Linked DNA regions of Notamacropus eugenii. The protein of the gene in region 2 interacts with the protein of the main gene of each other region in a pairwise test. Links are inferred from orthologs where the notes say so. Each region holds a gene or a part of one and is shown on either strand. Other genes may lie near its edges. The genes, in order: anterior gradient protein 3-like and ERLIN1.

What was found.
Region 1: the proteins of ERLIN1 (region 2) and anterior gradient protein 3-like interact in binary tests that used the Homo sapiens proteins (3 or more experiments, as listed by UniProt). The two-hybrid records come from large-scale screens. The link is inferred for Notamacropus eugenii from reciprocal best matches to the Homo sapiens genes ERLIN1 and AGR3.

Annotation. Positions count from the first base shown.
Region 1 is NC_092874.1:9,828,287-9,835,369, forward strand, and holds the start of anterior gradient protein 3-like, read right to left. Parts: upstream 3,046-7,083; coding exon 2,898-3,045; intron 1-2,897. UniProt on the Homo sapiens protein: Required for calcium-mediated regulation of ciliary beat frequency and mucociliary clearance in the airway. Might be involved in the regulation of intracellular calcium in tracheal epithelial cells.
Region 2 is NC_092872.1:249,189,336-249,197,117, forward strand, and holds the start of ERLIN1 (erlin-1), read right to left. Parts: upstream 3,253-7,782; 5' UTR 3,131-3,252; intron 2,671-3,130; exon of another isoform or gene 2,581-2,670; intron 2,407-2,580; exon of another isoform or gene 1,601-2,406; intron 1,186-1,600; 5' UTR 1,175-1,185; coding exon 1,062-1,174; intron 1-1,061. UniProt on the Homo sapiens protein: Component of the ERLIN1/ERLIN2 complex which mediates the endoplasmic reticulum-associated degradation (ERAD) of inositol 1,4,5-trisphosphate receptors (IP3Rs).

The DNA.
Region 1 (7,083 bases), on a different chromosome or scaffold from region 2:
ACCTCCCCCGCACCCGACCCCCACAATAAACTCCAACAGCTCCCCATTACCTCCAGCATCAATCACAAAATCCTCAGTTTGGCTTTCAAAGCTCTTAACAACTTTGATTTCTTTTTTTTTTTCATGGCTTAACCCTCTGTACATACTCTGAGATCCAGTGACCTTGGCCGTCCTGATATTTCTCTAACATAATGCCCCATCTCTTGATGATATGCCTTTTCGTCTTCTGTCCCTCTTCATCTCCCTCTGGGGCTTCCGTGGTTTCCTTCAAGGTTCTGCTGGAATCGTACCTTCTGTTGGTGGCTTTCCCTCATACCCTCACTCCAAGTGTCTTCACTCTGAGATTACCTTCCTTCTATGCCGGGTGTATCTCATAGTTATTTACATGTAGTCTCAGCCAAAGTATGCAATCAGTCATTTATGTGTATTCTCCCCCATTAGAATGTGAGCCACTGAAGAAAAGGGACTATTTTTGCATCTCTTTGCATCCTCAGGGCTTAACACAGGCCCTGTCACATAGTAAGCACTTAGTGAATGTCTGTTGACTTAAGATGACTTGTATCACCATAGGCAGCTCATTAAAACTCTCAGAGACTCAGTTTCCACATGTGCCAATTTGAGATACCTGTAGCATATCCCTCACATGGCTTTTGTGAGGTTCAGATACACAGAGAGTGCTTTGAAAACCTTAAACAGGTATCTCAATGTGGGGTGTTATTATCTCTGTAGTCTGGAAAGGTTTCCTGAATGAAGAAGGTTTTATGGAGTATTTAAAAATTAATAGCATTTTGATTATTAGAAAGAATGGAGAAAGATGCAAGAAAGACATGGAGAACAGGATAAAAAAAGATGTGGTTGTGAGACAGTGTCTGAAATGTTTGGGGAACAGCTAATAGGCTAATTTCAATGTCATAGGAATTGGTGGTGAGGCTCTACGGGCAAAATGGGTCTACAACGCTTCGCCAGGGAAACAGTAGGTACACATTCGTAATCGCTGAGCAGCAGGGTGAGATGATCAAAATGCCCACTTAAGAGCATTAGGTTGGCAGCAGTTTTCAGGATGGATCAAGAGATGTGAGAGCTGGAGACAGAGACCAATGAAGATTCTACTATGAGAGTACAGGAAAGTCCTGAACTAGAGCGGTGGCCATGGGTATAGGAAGAAATGTATGGATTCAAGAGAGGGACGGCTGGGACTTGACTCAAAGAGGGATGTCTGGGACTTGAAAATGAATTGACTGTTGGAGGGTCAAAGAAGAAGGAAGGCTTGGAGAAGACTTCCAGGTTTTGAGCTTGGGTGACGGAGAAAAGGACGTCAGCACTCAAAGAAATAGGGAAGCTGGGAGGGGGAACTGATTTTGAGAGAAAAGAGGAGTTTGCTTTCAATTTGTCTGCAGATGCTGGGGTGGGGGGAGGTGTTGTTAAGTGTCGTCAGCTATTTGAAGGTCTGTCATGTGAGAGAGGGGCTAGCCTCATGCTTCTTGGCCCTGGGAAGGTGGGGTGAGGAGGAGATGAGCCGAATGAGGGGCAGTGGGAGAAGGGTCCAAGAGGTGATGCTAATGATCAGATCAGTCCTGAAGAAGAATGAGTGGACTTTCTCCCCAGCAGCACTATTATGGGGTTATATTTGTGGCATTATCAAACTGGTAACTGTAGATGTGGCATAGGAATACTGGGTTGAAGATAGTCATATGACTGTTATCTGTAGGGGAAAGAAGTAGGGCCATGGAAGTGAAAACAATTTCTAAGTGGGAAAGACAACAGAGAGATCCTAGGATCATTGGTTAAAGATGAAAAGGAACTTTTAAACCATGGTGGTGGCCTCTTCCCCAGTATATAGATGAGTAAACTGAGGCATACAGATATTAAATGATTTTCTGAGAGTCACCATCTTTTAAGTGTCTGAGGCAGGACTTCTAGCCATACTTTCCTGATTCCAAGTCCAGAGCTTGAACAACAAACCACCTTAGTGGGGGCATCAAAGACAGAGGACTGATGGCCAAAGGAGTATCCGGACAGTGAAGTCAAAGATTTTCAAGTTCAAATTTTGACTGACAAGTCTTTGGCTGTGTTGATCCTGGGCAAATCACTTAAGTCCCTCTGAGATTCAGTTTCCTAATCTCTAAAATGGGGTCATTTGCATTTGTATTTCAACTTGGAGCTATGTTGTGAAAAAAGTATTTCATAAACCTTTAAGCTCTCTATAAATGTGATTGTTATTCACAATCCTTGCTTCTATTGTCATAATCAAAATGGAAAACAGAAAGACCAACAGTTATCATTATTATTGCCATCAAGAGTTTTGGGTCCTCAACAGCAGAAATCCAATTTCTTTCTAGTCAGATGACTATGGATCCCAAGGCACTGCTGTGCCCTGAGTTGAGTGGTAGAGCGGCCAGTTGTTACATCCCCCTTTGCAAATAATTCAAAGAGAACTTGGTGCCATTTGGGAAGAATGACTACCACAATGGGATGGGATGGCAGTGAACTCCTGTGAGTCCGGTCACCATTGGGCCAATCCCTGCTACTGTATTCTAGTTTTTTGGTTTTTGCTAAGATGTTCTAAGCTTTATTTTGTTTCTAGGCTGCTCAAGGCCCATTCCCCTTTCAATAACCATGTCCTTCCTTCTCAATTCTGATGCTGCACTGAACAGTCATTCCTTCCATTACATCTCTCACTGCTTTTCTGACTTCCTTAATTCACTGTCTCTCAACCCTGGTCACATCTCTGATTTCCCCTCTCTCAGCCTTAGTTTCTTTAACTGTAAAATAAAACAACTGGATTAGATGCTCATCAGGGTTATTTCCAATTCCCAAACCCTTGGTGCAGAGACATTGTTGACGCAGGAGCCAAGGGAGGCTGGACAACATGTGGGTAAGGCCCCAGACCTGGGCACTTGTGACAATGAGCTTGCCAGGCTCTTCTCCAGCTGCACTGGTCTCCACCTGCTGGGTGAACCCACATTCTGGGTCTGTTCTTCTCCAGGCAGCTGTTGGTGTTGGCCGCCCACTGTCCGCAGCCCACATGGATCTCTTATGTTCCATGCAGACTTACTCCCATGCAAGTGATCATAGTCAGAAGCCTGGAAAAAGATCCTGAGATCAAAGGAGAGCCAATTCCCCACCTGTTTCTCCATTCATCCATGTGACTCATTAAAACTAATGAGCAGAGAGCTAGACTAATTGTTCTGGAACAAGGATGATATAATTATCTCGAGAGGAAAATCAGGAAACTACTTTTGATCCTCCCATGGACATCAGTTCCCTCTAAGATTCCTGTAACAGCAACAGTCATATGTATTGCTGCTCCTGCGTATTTAATGAGTTTACTCTGCCAAGGGAGCCAGACAGGTCTAATCAGGTCCTTCCTATCTCTCCAAAGCTGGCAGCTTATTTGAGAGGAGACCTTGATGTTCTCTACTTGAGAAGAGTGATTGAACAGCCAGTCAGAAAAGCCCAAGTCACCGAAGGCCTCAGCTTTGAAAGAGATGATAATATGCACGTGTGCGGAATTCAGAGAGTGAAAGGTATATAATTCACAGTTTCTAAGGAGCTCCGTTTTACTTTGGATGCTGGGGAGCCAAAGTCTGTGTGTGGTTGGAGTAACTTAAGTCTTCTCTTCCCAAAAGCTACTGAAAATGTCATTGTACATTCTAGTGTGTTCTTTTCCATTCAAGTAATACTTATTAACCACCAATGATTGCTGGTCATTTTCCTTGACACTGGGGATATAAAGACAAATGAGTTAGCCCACGGAAATGTTACATTCTCTCTCTCTCTCTCTCTCTCTCTCTCTCTCTCTCTCTCTCTCTCTCTCTCTCTCTCTCTCTCTCTCTCCCTCTCTCTCTGTCTCTCTGACTGTCTCTCTCTCTCTCTGTCTCTGTCTCTCTCTTTCTTCCTCCTTTCTGTCTCTCCCCTTGGAGTATCTATCCCTTTATTATTTATATGTACATACACTAGCTATTATTATCATCACTACTACTATTAATAAAGTCTAGAGTTCTTGCTTTTAAGGAATGTAAATTCCACTCATGAATACAGTATTAATCCAGATGAGCAGATACAACACATATACACAGTAGTTTTGAGGTGGGGGGGAGCACTCATAGTGGGCAGGTTCAGGAAATACTGTGTAAAAAGGTGATATGATACCTGGATTGGACTTTGGAGGAAGCTGGGAATTCTAAAGGGTCTAAATGAGGTGGGAGATCATTCCAGGCAAGGAGGCCCCCCCTGTGTCAAGGTAAAGGCATGGGACATAGGGATGTTGTGTTTCAGGAGTGCTAGTAGAGTAGTTGGACCAGAATGGAGTGCTTGAATGGGGGTAATAAGTCAAGAAATAGAGGAGGAAGCTAATGTGGAAGGCTGAGCATTTTGTATTTTATCATTGACGTAGTAGGAAGATACTGAACATTTTAGCAGGGGCCTGATCCAGGCTTTGGAACCTCTGTGGAGGCTGGATTGTGAGACCAGAAAGCCAATTAGAAAGAAAGCTACTCTAATAGTCCAGAGGAGAGATAATGTGTTCCCAATGAATAGACATAACTTGGAGGAAGATTTCCCAATGGAGACTAAGAAGGAATGGTCATATAAGGTGGGGGCTGTGAGAGTGGGGACAACCATAGGGAAAAGACCTGTTCTGCTGATAGAATGAATGGGGTATGTGGAGTGAGAGAAAGTGAGAGACACAGGGTAACTTTGGGTAACTGGAAGAATTGAGGCATCCTCTGCTGAAACAGGGAAGCTTGGAGGAGAGACAGGTTTGAAGGGAAAGGTAGAAAGAGTCTTGTTGAAAACATGGTATTTGTGTTGCTGATAGGACATCTAGGGAGCCTCTCTGGCTACTCTGGGGGGCAAATTATGTCTTTTATTGTAGAAAATCATGTAAAAGATGAAGAACAGATTCTTTCCCTCATATTTCACATCTGTGCTTTACAGCTACCCCCTCCTCCCCTCAATTTTGAGGCAACTTAGAGGCGGGGCTAGTGATAAGAACCCAGGACACTGAGGCCGAGCCTCTCCCTTCAAACCCCACCTTGGTGCTTAACCTGGGGGACCTTGTTTCCCAGAGTCTCCATTTCCTCATCTTTGAAGTGAACAATTAGGACTCAATGATCTCCAAGTTTCTTTCCCTCCCAATCTATGAGACTAACTTTAGAATTCTTATCCACCAACTGAGACTGCTGGACTGAACATTCCCTAAAGTGCTTCCCGGGTCTAAATCTATGATGATGTAAGAGCAGACATCGATGGAACTAGAAAGGATGATCGATGTCCTTTAGACTGACCCCTCATTTTACAGATAAGAAATGGAGGCCAACGGGGAGAAGTGATTCCCCCAAATCACACAGACTCTTAATGGCAGACCTATGATGCGGGTCCCATGTCGTCTGATTCTAAAATCAACATTACTTCTTTGGGACCATTCCACCAGAGGCATGAAGGAGAATAGCATATTTTGTCAAGATAGCTCTTTGATAGGGGAGTTGGGTGTCTATTGTAGACAAATTCTTTAAAAATCTGAAAACAAAGAGAATTTGCCTTTTTATTTAAACATTCGAAGATTTTTGTTTCCATAAATGCATAAGCATCCTTGAGCATTTCTATTCTCTTGAATTATTCAAAAGCAGCTTTGCATTAAGCCTAGCCCTTTGGCAAGCAGGTCACCCCTCCCTGTTAGATCACAAATGGAATGAATTCTTCTTAGTTAATCAGGCATTTTCCTCCCAATTTGACTGGGTGACTTTCAAGTAGATGAAGACAAGCATGCCCTTTTATTATGATGTGATCAGTGACTTTATTTTTCCGGATTACAACTCACTTCTCTAGAACTCTTCATGTCCATGATCTCATATGACTCTAATAGCAACCCTGCAGCTCATTTCAACAGGTACATATCTTTGCCTCCATGGATCTTGGGCTGGAAGGTCTTTCAGAAGTCATTTAGTACACCTCTTCCTTTTAAAGATGAGGAAACTGAGGCCCAAAGAGACAGAAAGGGGAAAGCTTTTCTGTAGTTTAAGAAAAAACATTTTTAAATATAGCTAGCATGTATATAGCCCTTTAAAACAAAGTGCTTTATAATTTAGTCTCCCAGTAAGTCTGGGAAGTAAGTGCTATTATTAGCTTCATTTTTCAGATGGAGAAGCTCAGACACATAATGGCTAAATGGTTTGCCCAGAATCTCGTAGCTTGTGAGCATCCTCTAGCTCCTTTCACCTTGGCTAGCTGCCTTTGCAAGGGGAAGAAGGGCTTGGGGCAGAATTGGAAACCAGGTATCCTGCATTCAGATGCATTGCTTTCTCTGAGTCTTGCTGCTGTTCTCACTGGCCCCATCTTTGAAAAGAGGAAACTTGCTTAGTGGTTTGTCCATGGTTCAGATGGAAAAGAAAGTGGCAGCTGCGGTTTTGGAGCCTCTTGAAACAGACACTTCTCCCCTAGCAGGGAATACAAGGGCTATTAGGACCATTCTCAGTTCCTGGATCAGAACTGGGGTGCTACCCACCCCCAACCCACTTCCCCAATTCAAAAAGGAAAATAATGCAAGAAGTGATTCAAGTCAGAAGGAAGATGAATTAGGACAAAGTCTTGCTCAATGAGGGAAGAACCACACACTGGTCAATGGACTTGGAATCCTAGGATTCTTTGAGTCCACCAGAAAGGCTTTAGGAAGGTTCTGATCCACAAATCTGGAGGGAGAGGATTTTTGCCCTGATTTAGCTATGTGAAAGAAGTTGGGAAAGTAAAACTTTGCTTGGTGCGAAAAGAAGGGGGGATTTGGCAGAATGAACTGGGGAGTTCTTTGTAGGATGGTGAGAGCGAGGGCAGGAAGCAGTAACCAAACTGAAGTCTACTGCCCCAGAAGCCCAGGGATCCAACCGCTTCTCTTCTCTGCTCCTTAGCCAGCATTTTTCTCAGTCTCTAAATTCTTTATGTTTCCTACTTTGAGGCAAAGCCACAGTGGCTCCATTTTAGTTATCAGGTAACTAGCTCCCAGACTTTGACTTGGGGGAGCAAGGCACAGGGACATACCTAGACTTGTCATATGGAGGATGGCAATTTTCTTGGGGGAGTATGTTTCAG
Region 2 (7,782 bases):
AGCTAGGCTGGTCAACTCAACATCTTTCTGACTTTATAGGGTTTATCAGAAGTCCCCTGGTATAGAATCTGCCTCCATGCCATTGATGAGAATATTGATATTAGAATTTATGGGAAGTAAAAAGGTATAACATGCTGAAAATGCAAACAGGTTTTATAACAAATATATGGATAATCAAATCTTGGCAATTTTATGGGAAATGGAATATTTGCAGGAACTCTAACCTGATAAGCCTAGATCTTGGATGGTACATCCAAGTCATTGTTAATTTGAAACAAAATACCATTCCTAACTACTAGTCACAGTTTGTCATTTCTTCTACCAAATTACCCCTATAGTGACCTACCTGTAAAAATATTCAAAAACAAGCTTGTTTAAAGTATGTCTATGTCCTCAATTAGAAAAATGTGTTCAACTCAAGAGTTAGGAGAAAGGATACACTGAAACTGGGAGTGGTAATACTCTTTTAATTAACTCTCTGCCCAAGGCCTCCATTGACTGATCTCCCTGTAGATAACAGATCTCTGTGAGAAGTGCTGGCAATAACATCTAAGAGAAACTAAATTTTCCACACTATTTTCCCCTTACCCTGTAAGCTAGACTAACACAGGCTGAAAAGGAGGAAAAGTAGAGTGTACCCAAAACTATTTACACATTTATCTGCATCTCATCCTTCTTAGCCATAATGTGTTATGGTCACTGTTTAGAGTGATCAGATTCAGGAAAACTCCTGGAGAAAAAGGTTGTCAGGAAGAAGCTAACAAACAAATAAGAGTACCAGCCCCACAAACACTGAATGCCACTGAGGCTCAAGGACAACCCTGGGCCTCTGCAGTGTGTAAAAGTCAAACCAGTTGTAACCAATGTCGGTGGCACCGCCCCCCGCAGTACTATGTACTTCACAAAGGTTGCTTGATGATAATCAACCCAATTCCAGGACTCTGAGACAATACTGTAGTAAGGACAACTTCCAAATTCCCAGGGATCATAGCTGTCTTTGTTGGATAACCTAGGCTGGATGTACACACTGGTCTGTTGGGCTCCCATGACCTGGCACTCACCTGTAGTACACAGCAAGGTGTCCCTCCTCGATCCTGTGGATGGAGGCGTAGAGGAGAACCACCACCAGCCCTGCAGCTGCAGCCCCCAGAGCCCCGGCTTGAGTCATATTCATCCTGGCTCTTCCTATATGAGGAGCGAACCAATAGTTCTGATCTCCCTTTCCCCAGATGGTCCAGTCCCCTCTCTATAACCAATGTTGAGAAGTCTAGGTCTCCAAAGGAGCCTCTCTTCCTCCCCTCCCTCATCTGCACCCTCATAGAAATGGTCCCTTCTTCTCTGACCCACCCATTGCCCAAAACCCACCATAATTCCACCCTTATTTCCAGTGACCTCCCTCTTCCCCAACAGCTATTCCCACAAAATCCTCCATTACCCACTTATCACATCTTTTCCATTCAGCCCACCAGTTCACTCCCCCTTCCCTCTCCAACCCCCTTTTTCTCACTCAATAATTCTAAATGAACCCCACCCAGCCACCCCATCCATCCCTCAAGGACAATCTCTATCTCTCTCAATTACAACATCTCCTGACAAATACCTTTTTCCTTCAGTTAACAGCAATTTTCCCAAGACACTTCCTCTTTACCAATAATCCCTCTTTTCTAGAATCTCCCTTTCAACGATACTCTTTCTTTCCTCCCTCAATGAATTTCAGTCTGATCAGACATCTCCTACCCTACTTATCCCCCCTCAGCAACACACCCATCTACAAAGTCACTAGCCTTAACATGGTCTCCCCTCACTCTTCACTGTGAGGATCCTCACTCCTACCTGTGACCGAACCTTCTGGTTCAGTAAAAAAAAAAAAACCTCCTACTCCCCTTCTCCTCCAGAGACACCTCCAGAAACGCCCACTCTCTTAAGTGATAATTTTTCCTTCCCCTTCAATGACAATGTCTATTCCTGACAAATGGTCCCTCCACTTTGCCTCAGACAGTCCTTATAACGGCTGACATTAATGTACAGTCTCTTAATGTAGCCAGCTTCACATACAACTTATCTCACTTAATTCTAACAGCAATGCTAGGAAGTAAGGACTATAGGTATCCTTATCCCTAAGGGATAGTGTCAGGGAAGCCAGGGAACTGTCCGTGGTCACACAGTGTCAGGTGGAAGCTGGACAGCCCTGAGTCTTCCAAGTCTAGTGGCAAACTCTCTCCCGTCAGGATATCCACTTTTCAGTCCTGCTTCTCAGGGGCAAAGAAACAGGGAATCCCAAGTGACTCTTCCTTCTCTCTCTGTGACTAAGTCCACCCTTAGTGATCTCCCCCTCCTCCATGACTTCCTATCACCTAAGGAGTGGCTCAGCCTCAATACTCCCCCTGGACTCCGACTGACCGAAGAGACACAAACTGCCCTCCGGGACACCCCCTCACATCAGCCTCTGACCCTCCCTTCCGGCCATTCTTGCCCCACCCCTCACTGATCATCCCCGCTAGTGAGTGGTCGCCTGCTCCTCTGCAGCCACCACCCTCCAGACTGCCCTGGAAAAGAAGGCTGACTGTGTAGCCAGATGACCTGCTTAGAGGCGGCTAGGTGGCCCAGGGAACGGAGCACCGGCCCGGGAGTCAGGAGGACCCGAGTTCAAATCCGGTCTCTTCCAGCAAGTTCTCAGCAACTCCTCTCCCTCCCACCCCCTCCGCTCTCGGGTACAAGTCATCCACGTCCCTCCCCCAGAGAAGGCCTGGGCTTCGGCTTCCCGGTGGGGAGCGCCAGGGGCTGCAGGTCGCCAGTCCGAGCAGGAGCTGGACTAGATGACCCCATCGGGCACCTCCTCTACCGGGCCCCCCACACCTGCTTTCTCCCCGGCGGCAGCCCCCGCCCCTGCCTGACATCGCCTCTGCTCCCTGCCTCCCCTCAGCCTCGGGCCCGGGCGGGCAGCCCCGCCCTTCGGGACAACCTGGGGGACCGGGGTGCCCGGCCCCCGCCTCGGCGGAGGTGGCTTGTGACGGCCGCGCCCCTCAGTGACGCCCCCTGCCCCGCGGATGCCGCCTCCCCCTCAGGTACAGCCCCCTGAGGAGGGAGGATGCCTCTGCCTCCCGCCCTCCCCGCCCGCCCCCAGTCTCACCGATCGGCTGCGCATCTCCCCGGCGACGCGCCGAGCTCGTCGCCCACCTTGCCAGGGACCACCGGCCGCCCACAACCGCCGGCGGGCCCACAGTCCCGCGCTTCTGCGCAGGCGCCCGGTATACGCATGCGCGGTCACATCCTGTACGGTCAAAAGGGGGAGACGGCGAGTGAGCCGAGACAAAACTGGTCTCTCGCTCTCGATGCGCGTTGCTTGGGTTTGTCTCCCCCTGGTGGGGATGTTAGGATAGGAGCCTAGATCCACGTGGCACAGGCGTGGGAGGCCTGCTTCCGAGGAAGGGTGGGGCAGGGACATAGACCCTGAAGCTCCTGTGCACCATGTCAATTTCTGGGAGGTTTTCTCTTTCACTAGGGAGCTGTGGGATAGAGCAAACAGCTAGGTGGGCAGCCCCTCAGCTTTGCCTGCCATCCACCTTCCCAGCTGCCCAGTCGATCCAATAAAGATTAAGATTCTGCCTGCCTTCTCTGAACAAGCATACTTTCATACATATATGCATGTATAAGAAAGGAATGAATCAAATGAAACAGAGATTTCAACAAACCACTGGAAGTGTCTGGTATGTCAAATTCATTTCTTTCTTTTGCAGAAACTTCTCACTAAGTTGCAGTGAAAGTTATGAAAAAGAAATAGTAATTATGCAACTGATAATTCTGATAGATATAAGGACTTGAAGTGAACAAACATCCATTTCTTTTCATTCAAGTTTTATTGTAACTCCTCTCCTAAACAAAAGGTTTGCTTGGAAGGGGGGAAAGTGGGGAGGGGGGGGAAGTAGGGGGGAGGGTTTCTTTTTGTTTTATTCCTGGAGGATGGGTTTGCTTCTTATATTTCGATTTTAGCTCAGTTGAACTTATAGTTATTAACTGCCAATAAATGCTTGTTGAACAGGCTTAAGTTCATGCTTGGACATATTAGACTATTTTAAATGATTAAAACAATTATTATGTTTTATTATGGGAGTATCATATATTTGCCTTCTCAGTGTGTGGGAGCAAGCTTACAGGGAGGAAAAGAATTTGAAACAAAAGTTAAATGAATTTTTAACAACTTATTATATATGAGAGAAAAAACTTGGATGATCTTGCTTGTGTTACAACTCAGAAATGGGAGTGGAAATTCCTCACTGTGATCTTGTGGGAGGGGTTAACTTTGTTTTTCAAAGATGTGACAACACACCAAGAAGTAAGATGCCCATTCATCTCCTCTTAGAAAAGAAAAAGGCAGCAAATAAGAAATGATGAACAGGAAGGCTTCAGAGAGGCCTGGAAAGACTTATATGAACTGATGCTGAGTGAAAGGAACAGAACCAGGAGAACTTTATACACAGCAACAACCACAGTGTGCAAGGAATTTTTTCTGGTACTTCTTGCAGTGCAAAGACTTAAAAAATTCCCAATCGTTTCTTAAGGCAAAATGCCTTCCACATCCAGAGAAAGAACTATGGAATTCAGATCACAGAATGAAGCAGATCATTTTCTTTTGTATTATGTTTTGGTTTTATGGTTTCTCCCATTCATTTTGATTCTTCTATGCAACATGACTAAGGTATGTATTTAATAGGAATGTATGTGTAGAACCTATATAAAACTATGCCCTCTCAGGGAGGGAGTGGGAGGGAGGGGAGGGAGGGGGGGAAATTTAAGATATATGGAAATGATTGTAGAACAGTGAAAACAAATAAGATAATAATTTTTTAAAAATTTGTACCAACAAAAAAAAAAAGAAAAAGGCAGCAAGACACAATGGATAGACAACTGGCCCCAGAGTCAGGAAGACTGAGTTCAAATCCTACCCCTGAAACGTACTGGTTTTGTGTGTTGCAAAGGTACCAAGCTACATTGGGAGAAAGTATCCTCAGCTGGGCCTTTTGTACCATAGAGTCAGAAGGACTCAGGACTGTGGGTGTGTGCTTAATAAATAAGTAGTCTGACAAGAGGAAATTCCAAGGGTGTCATTATGTAGCTTGTAAGGACAGATTGTATTCATTTGTATTCCACAATGTAGCAGGAAACTAGGTAGCGAAGTGAAAGCAGTGCTGAGCCTTGAGTCAGAAAGAAGTAAGTTGAAATCCAGCCTTAAATACTTAGCAACTGGTCCAGTCACTTAACATCAGGTTTGTCTCAGTTTCCTCAACTCTAAAATGTGAATAATAATGACACATACCTCAAATAGTTGTTGTGAAGATCAAATGAGATGCTATTTATAAAGTGCTTAGCACAGTGCCTAGCACATATTAGGTAGGATACAAATGCTTATTCCCATCCTTCATTGCTTTTCAAACCTAGCTCAAGTGTTGAGAGGCAGCTTAGCACTGGGAATAAAGGTCTGCCCTTGGAGTCATGAGATCTGGGTTCTAGTTCTGCCTGTGACATCGCCTGACTGTGTTACCCTGAGTCAGTCTTCGAATCTCTCAGCACTCTAGGGAAATCAACCTAGATGTCCTGGGAGAAGTCCTTAGTTTGGTGGTTGTTTTTAAGCTGGTCTTGTGATTTAATCAGTGGAGTATTTGTCCACTCAGCCCAGAGGAGTAAAAGGAGGAGTTGGGCCAGGAACTGAAGCCTCATCTTCCCACTTCCAGGGGCTGCTGCCTCCCGGCATCTGCACCAGCTTTTTCAATTCTGCATTTTCTCAGACACTTCCACCTCTGGGCTAAGTTGCAGGTGGGACACAGATAAATACATCATGGTACTTCTAAGCTATCTAAGGGCAATTCAGTTCAATAAGTACCAAGTGCCTGTTCTGTACAAGGTACTTTGCTAGGTAATCTGCAAACTAAGACAAAGTGTCCCTCCCTTCAAGGAGTCTCTGGGATCCCAATGTAAAAGCCAGCCTCATACTTTTAGGGCAGAAAGGATGTGAGAAGCCATTGAGTGCACTCCCCTCACTGGAACATGGAAGAAATGAGAGCTGTAGAGGGGGAGCCACCCAGGAAGGCTCTTCTGACTCCAGAACCAGAGTTGTTCCCATGGGGCCATGCTTCCAGGACATAGATAAGTAAATACAAAGTCATGTCAAGAGGTAGATCTAGAGTTGGATGAGACCTTCAGGTATGGTGCTTCCCAATTGTTTAGGGACTTGAATAATAGGTTCAGGAACATGGGATGGTTCAGAAGAGAAAGTGAGGTTTGTAACCTTGCACATCCCTCCCTCACTCAAAACAAAGTCAAGTGCAAGACATGTCATCATTTCTCTGATGGCATGGTCTTCTTGGAAAACGGAGGACAAACACAGAAATTTTATATATATATGTATGTATGTATATATGTATTTATGCATGTGTGTATGTATGTATGTGTATATGTGTATATATGTGTGTGTGTATATATATACATATATATGACTCCAATCCCCATACCTCAAATATCAAAATACAATTTTTTTAATTTGCAGAGAGTTGTGTGAGGCACTAAAAGGCTAACCCATGATCATCCCACCATTTGAGGCTACCTCTCAAAAAGATGCAAATCTAACAAACATGAAGTGTCCATTGTGTGAGAGCCACTGGGGGGTGTACATAACCAAACAGGCAAGGAGACAGACTAGGTGGAATAAGAATGAGAGAATGAGCATAAACATAAGGCTATGAAGTAAATTGGAACCAGATGGTAGGTAACCTTGAAAGTGAAGATCAGTTTATACTTTAGTAGGTAGGCAATGAAGAAGGTTTTTTTAGCCCAGTAGAGAGAGCTGAGGCAGCTATATGATAGCAGTAGAATCAGGACAGAGCTGAGTTCAAAGGCTACCTCAGACACTTACTAGTTGTGTGACCCTGGGCAAGTCATTTGACCTTGTTTGCATCAGTTTCCTCATCTGTAAAATGAGCTGAAGAAGGAAATGACAAACCACTCCATGATCTTTACCAAGAAAATCTCAAATGGGGTAATGAAGACTCAGACGCACCTGAAACAACTGAGCATGTTGTTGAAAAGAACCGTTGAACTTGAAGTCACAGGATTATAGATGGAAAGATGGAAGAGATCTCCAAGGGCCCCACCTTTATAGCTTTGTGGCAAGGAGCAAATGAGAAAATGTATACACAGCGCTCTGAACACTTTAAAGGGACAGACAAATGCTAATTGTCATTAGAAATAACTAGATCACTGTGGGTTAGGGTTAGAAAGATTACTCAGACAAGCAAATAAATTTAAATGGAGGGGAGATGAAACCAGGGCAAGAAGACCAATTAAGAGGCTATTTAAATAAATTACCTAGAAGAGACTCTAAAACAATGTTACAATAGATGGTGAGAGAAGGGAGACAGCAAAAGATATTGCAGAGAGAGATAATTATCAAGACTATTCAAGTAAAAAATAAATGAACAAATGGTAACATCATCGAGAGAAACATGTTAAAAGGAAGGGCAGGGCAGGTTGGGTATAGGGAAGAAAGAAAGACTGATTTCAGCTTTGGATATTTTGAGATTAAAATACCAACTGGATAGTCAGGTGAAGATGTCTATGAGTCAACTGGAAAAAATTGGCCTAGGACCTGGGAAGATAGTAAAGGTAGGAATAAAGTTTTAGGACTTCATCTGTATAGAGGTGATGGTGGCAGATCCTTGGCCACAAGCTGAAATGGGGTACAAGATTGACTTTTCTCAGGCACAACCTGTAAAACTAATTCCAGTCCTA